Linked DNA regions of Saccharomyces cerevisiae S288C. The protein of the gene in region 1 purifies or fractionates together with the protein of each later gene. This does not show direct contact. Each region holds a gene or a part of one and is shown on either strand. Other genes may lie near its edges.

Evidence for each region.
Region 2: the proteins of IRC22 (region 1) and YGR126W purify together in Saccharomyces cerevisiae (affinity purification with mass spectrometry, with the first as the bait; one large-scale study listed by BioGRID). This does not show direct contact.

The regions. Positions count from the first base shown.
Region 1 is NC_001137.3:149,801-153,237, reverse strand, and holds IRC22 (Irc22p), read left to right. Parts: upstream 1-2,259; coding exon 2,260-2,937; downstream 2,938-3,437. Other genes in the region: WBP1 (dolichyl-diphosphooligosaccharide-protein glycotransferase), read left to right, coding at 3,224-3,437. UniProt on the Saccharomyces cerevisiae protein: Is probably involved in a pathway contributing to genomic integrity.
Region 2 is NC_001139.9:744,017-747,353, forward strand, and holds YGR126W (uncharacterized protein), read left to right. Parts: upstream 1-1,818; coding exon 1,819-2,511; downstream 2,512-3,337. Other genes in the region: VSB1 (Vsb1p), read left to right, coding at 1-1,419; YGR127W (uncharacterized protein), read left to right, coding at 2,782-3,337.

The DNA.
Region 1 (3,437 bases):
TAGCTCATCGTTCTGCGAGAGCGTGTCTAAAGATAAGCCGATAGTTTGTATCCTATTTAGGTTAAAAGCACGTGGCACGAGAAACGCGCACGCACTTTCCACCATTTTTCTGCATGGTGGCGGTCCGGCCAATTGAGACCTCGCAATGATTAAGTCTTCCGAGCGCCAGGGTTCGAAAAGTGGGATGCCTTGGTTGTTTTCTTTTTTTTTTCGCGATTGTTTTACAACTTAATAGGTGTTGCCCAACTATTCGTAAAAGGATCAGTGAGTCAGTAGTGAGCAATATATGCAGAAAGAGTACTTTTTTTTTTTTCTGACGCAGAAGAGAGAGTTCCTATCTCAGGGAGAGAAACTTCAATGTATTAGGTTTTCTTCGGATCCGTGGGCACTTCTTGCCGCGTTTGCATATGCAGAAAGAAATGAAGAAAAAAGAAAATGAATTAAAACGCGAAATAAAGCGATGCCGCTATAATGGAAAAAAAGGAGTCGCGACATATGTATATGCATTCATCGTTCTCATATATTGCACGTTCCGACCACGATTATAGAGTCATCTACCATACACCATTATTATACTTTCTCTTCCTATCTGTCCAACATTTCTAGATAAGCCTTACTACGCTATCAAATGGTTAGTCTTGCTGTCTTCTAAATTTAGATCTCTTTCGTTGTTCGTCCATAAGGGTTCTTTCTTGATGCAGGATATGCATTTACGTTATTTTTTGTACGTCGTACTCTGGCTTATCGATGAATACAGACATTGAATAGCTAGTGATATTTTATCGGAAACGTGTACCGTGAAATGGTAAAAGTTTTGTTTGACTTTGAGCCAAAGTAGTTACCATGGTTGTTTTTTTCTTAATCTTGAAGGTAATCAGGATAAAGAGAATTACAACCATGTTCGTAGCTAAAAATCTCCTTATAGCTAACAACTGCTATTTATGTGCGGCTTTGTCAGCAGGAATTATACCGCATTTCCTTGATTTACTGTCTTAAGCTCACCTTCAACATTGTTTAGCAGTAACATTGTACTTTATTTTTAAGGAATAGTTTAGTTGAAACGCCAACAGTGGCTTGCACTAAACAAGACTTTATACTACGTTTAGTTTTTCTTTTCCTTTTCTTGAAACCTTTTTTTCTTTTCGGAAATCTAATACTGCTACAATTTTTATATATTTTTCAAATTTTTTATTTAATAAATATTGAAATAGAAAATGAAATTAAATTTATATTTTTTAAAAAGCACGTGATTAATTTGATGTTTCATAGAAATTTTAGTTTAATATTGAATCAGTCATTTACAGATTCATAGTTCTTAAATAAAACATATCTCGGACTTATGTAGCATGTAGGAGAGATGTATTTTTGCTTGGCCCTTTGTTTACCAATTAATCACATCTGCATTGAATGGGCTTGATGGTAGGCAAGCGTTCCCCTGTTAATGAAGAAACCCATTCAACAAGGAAGAAAAGTGGACTAATTTGATATTTCAATGTGTTAGTTAAAGCAAAAAGAATTCAAGAGTAAATATTTGAATTTACTTCATTTGTTAAGGTTAACAATTTAAGGTGTTGATTCTTTAAAATTATGTTCTCGCCATTCAATGACAGAAACATTACGAAGTGCTAGGAGGTATATTATTAATATGATAGTTTTTAGTTTATAATATTTGTCAACTCTAGTTGTTTACGCATTGAAAAGAAGTACGGTGTAATCAATATCATGAATATTTGAGAATAAAAAAACAGTTTTTGTTGCTGTCGGCCTATGGTGCTAGGGCTGACTGTTTGCTGATTTTTTCCTTCCGTTCCCTAATTCACAAAAAATCGATCATTATTTTTGATTTAGGCAATGGCAAAAATCCACGATATAATAAAAACCTGTGATTTCAAGCCTTGCAAACAGTAGACAAGCGCCATCTGTTTTCATTATGATGACTTTTATCATAGAGGATCTTGCCATTTATCGCTATCTATATATATTATATAAATACACTATACGATAATCACAAGCGCATGATTTTTGATAGTGATGTATGCTGCTTGACTACACGATGTATTCCGGGAATTTGGAAATGAGTTTATGCCTCCAGTTTATTTATTCATGTTTCGTAGTTCGGTAGTTCGGGTAAGTAATTTTGTCATTGAACGTTAAGAAGATTTTGGTGAAGTTTCAAATTCTGCAAAAACAATTACATACTAGTGGTTAAACAAAAGAAACAAGTAAAAGTTCACTGTCACTTCTTTATAGCTGGCAATTATGAGGTTTTCTATGTTAATCGGGTTTAATTTATTAACTGCCTTGAGCAGCTTCTGTGCTGCCATATCAGCTAATAATAGCGACAATGTCGAACATGAACAGGAAGTTGCGGAGGCGGTAGCGCCACCTTCTATTAATATAGAGGTGAAATATGATGTCGTTGGGAAGGAATCAGAAAATCATGATTCTTTCCTTGAGTTTTACGCGGAGGATACCGCTACCTTAGCCTATAATGTTACTAATTGGGAAGATACTAATATCACAATTTTTGGTGTCAACGGAACAATTGTTACATATCCACATGGTTATCCTGTGGCGGACATTACAGGTGCGAGTATTGGGCCTTACGAAATGGAGGTCAACGGAACTTCAAAATTCGGGCAAGACGTTACGTTAAATTTACCGGAAGGACAATACTTTTTAATCCCATTTTTATTAGCTTCTAGGTTCGATGAAATCGTGAGAATTGCGGCACCACCAACCCTATTCGAAATTGTTAGCCCACCTATTTCCTTTTTCAACCCACAATTTTTATCAGTTCAGGTCATCTTTCTAGCCATCATCGGAGGTGTAAGTTATTACTACATGAAGTCTAAAACAAATCAAAGACCTTCCAAGAAGAGTGCCACTGTCAAAAAAGTTGATGAATCATGGTTGCCAGAAACCTATAAAAAATAAAAATGGCGGAGTAAGATCTCTGGATGATGATAGGGGGCTCTCATTGTTTTATAGATACATATTAGTATACTACAATTAAAGATATCCCAATATCTACTTTCGATATTTTCAGGGCGGGTTATTGAATAATGCATTACCCTAAGCTACGCCTGAAAAATATCAAACACGCTTCTTGAAAAGAGAAACCTTTAAAGAGGTGTATAGTCAACTGAATTGGTTATAAAGTTGAATACTTTAACACAATTGACGGTGCAAATTTTGAATTATCCTTTTTTGATTATTTAGGATGCGGACCGATTGGAATTTTTTCTTTTGTATCCTTCTGCAGGCCATTTTCGTTGTGGGCACACAAACTTCAAGAACGCTTGTTCTTTACGACCAATCTACGGAACCTTTAGAGGAGTACTCAGTCTATTTAAAAGATCTAGAACAAAGGAATTACAAACTTGAATATTTAGATATTAACAGTACTTCCACTACTGTGGATTTGTATGACAAAG
Region 2 (3,337 bases), on another chromosome or scaffold:
TCATTCATTCCAATCTGTATAGTGGGCTCTCTAATTTTCCTACTAGGCTACGAGTTATTAGTGGAAGCGTTGGTCGATACATGGAATAAATTGAATAGATTCGAATATTTGACTGTTGTCATTATTGTTTTCACGATGGGTATCTTTGATTTTGTCCTAGGTATCATCGTTGGCATTTTAATTGCATGTTTTTCGTTTTTGGTGGATAGTACGAAATTACAAACCATTAACGGTGAATATAATGGGAACGTCGCAAGAAGTACAGTATATCGTGATTACGTTCAAACAAAATTTTTGGATGGAATTGGTGAACAAATATATGTTTTAAAGCTCCAAAACCTTCTGTTTTTCGGAACAATCATATCTATTGAAGAGAAAATTGAAAGATTGCTGCAAATAAGTAACAAAGATGCAACAAAACGCAGAATAAAGTATTTAATATTGGACTTTAAAAATATTAATGCCGACAATATTGACTATTCTGCGGCAGAAGGTTTCAATAGAATTAAAAGATTCACGGAAACCAAAAGAATCAAACTAATCATATCTTCAATCAAAGAAAGGGACCGTATTTACAACGCCTTCAATAATGTGGGATTACTAAACGATGTGGAATTATTTGCTGATTTAAACAGTGCGTTGGAATGGTGTGAAAACGAATTCCTTTTTCAATATAAACAATTAAGAAAAAAGGCGAAAGAAAGATTGGAAGAAGGAAAGCAAAATAATGTCGTATCCGCAGTAATTGCAGCCACTAAAAACAAAAAAATTGATACAATAGGAAATGGTTTAAACAGGGGAAGCAATGGAGACACAGCGAGAAACTTAATGTCACTACCAACCAATACTCCTCGTAATTACCAAATACTTTCTGTAGCACAGAATGTATTTGTAAACGACGAACAAGCAGTGAAGAATTTCAAAAAGGAGTACAAAGATGATGAACCTGTCCTGCCTATATTGTTATTTGCATTAAAGCAGTACCGACCCGATATAATATCTGAAGTTCAAAAAGTAAGAGAAAAGGAAATCAAGTTTTGGGCACAACTCTGCCCCTACTTCACCAGGCGCAGATTAGCAAGTCAATCACATTTACTACATGCAGACAACATTTTTTTCCTTGTGGAAACAGGTATGTTGAAGGCAACATATGAACTACCACAAGGAACCTTGTACGAGATTTTTTCAAATGGCACATGCTTCGGAAAAATCATTGCGCCAGGGAATGCTATGCCTAGAGAACAAAAGCTCACCATCGAAACTGAAACTGATTCCGTATTATGGGTTATAGACTCTAGCTCGTTGAACAAATTGAAAGAAGACAATCTAGCATTGTACGTGGAGGTTGCATTAATGGTCATGTGTATCAAGGACACCAGATTCAAAGAATTACTAGGTTACACACTTGTTAGCGCATGAGAGCGTACACGTATATTTATTTAATTTCTTTTATTGCCGGCGTATTGCAAGTAATTTACACCAGTACTAAATAAAAGCAGGATGCTCCTGCATCTGTATAAGTGATGCCGTTGTAGGATTTTTACCATCTCGACTATAAACTTTTTGTACTTGAGTCTTCACTTCCGGAATTTTACTGCGCGATTTTCTTTGATAGGGCCCCTATCGTAGACGAAAAGTGATAATTCCCATCGATGAGCAACTACATACCTCACTTGACTTAATTGCTCTCCTAAAGAAAAAAAATACCGTTACTTTTTTCATTAATATACTACCACAACAATTCACAACGGGTAGTTGTACGGTTAGTTTATATCCGCATTAACAAATCAAAGTCATAACAACGTATCAACGTAGACTATGCCTGTCCCATCTGTTACTGTCACTACCGATAATGAATATGAAGACATATCGTCCTTTTCTTCTATTGACTCTTACAAACCGGAGCCCTTTACTGGGTTCAAAGATTCTGAAGCTCCAGAACAGCCTCTTTTAAAAAACGATACCATTGTTGGAAAGGGGCAACTGGAAGATGATAGTAATGTAGATGATCAACACCGTCATTCAGATGTGCATTCTCATCACAGTTCTAGTACTTTAAAAAGGCCAACTTCAAATTCGATAGAAAAGATGGTTACCCACAATGCTTTAGAGGGCAACTCAGAAACAGTTGATTCCTTAAAAGAAGATGGTTTAAATTTGAACAAGAAAGCTCTTCCGGATATTACCGCCCCAGTAACAAACTCAGCTCACGATGCTGCATTTCCAGAAGAGTATCGTTTAGAAACTGAAACCGGGTTGGTCAAATTGAAGACGCTTGAAAGTTTGAAGAGGGAGGACTCTCGCGTATCCTCAACTAAAAAAGAGCATATTAACGACCATACAGATATGCATTCGACACGATCCAAGGTTACTACAAATTCTCAAGGTTCTTCTCTAGAACCAAACAAGTTGAACATGGCAGTAGAGAAGAATAAGAAGAGGATCGAAAAATATCAAAAACATAAATCAGAAAAGGGGATCAAGGGGTTTTTTCATAGAATTTTCGATTAAGTGGCATAGCAACATTTAGTTCGCAATGCGTTTACTTCAGAATCATTCTTTTTTTTTTTTTTTTTTTTTTTTTGCCTCACATTATATTCTTGGCATCTGCCTAGCTTTCGACTTTTTCGTTCAATTCCTAAAGCGCTAAAAAAATAGTCTCCCCCTGAAAGTGGAGTAGGATAGTAGTATATGAAGTGAGGCAGAAAAGGAAAGAAACGCTTGCATTTATTAACACACCTGTGGCTAAAGTATTAAAAACCAAAAACTAACGAACAAATAATGTGCATTTTAATGGCCACAAGGGCACATCCTGACTATGAACTCATCTTAATATCTAACAGAGACGAATTCTTGGCAAGAAAAACACATGCTACATGCTGGCATAACAATGATTTTATCCTTTCACCCTACGATCTGGCCAAAACCTCAGCAGAAAAACAAATATTTGGCACTTGGTCTGGCATAAATAAAGAAGGAAAATTAGCCACTATTCTTAATTTAAAACTTGACAATGAGCAAAATAATACGAAATCAAGATCCCGTGGTCTGTTACCATTTATATTTTTGTCGATCCATAAAGCAGATTTTGAAGATTGGGATAATTACAAAAAGTTTGAAGGTCACTATGATGGGTTGAAGTCCACAGGTGATTTTAATTTTTTTTACGGCGACGTTATCAAAAAGCAATATAAAGTTATTGATTCTCTAGGAAGAACTTTTGATGTGTTGAGTTCTACCTGTAGGAAAGATCTTGATTCTTACATGGTTGTTTCTAATGGTAAATTTTATGACAGCTCCAGTATACCAGGGCAGGCTTGGGAAAAAGTAAAGGTAG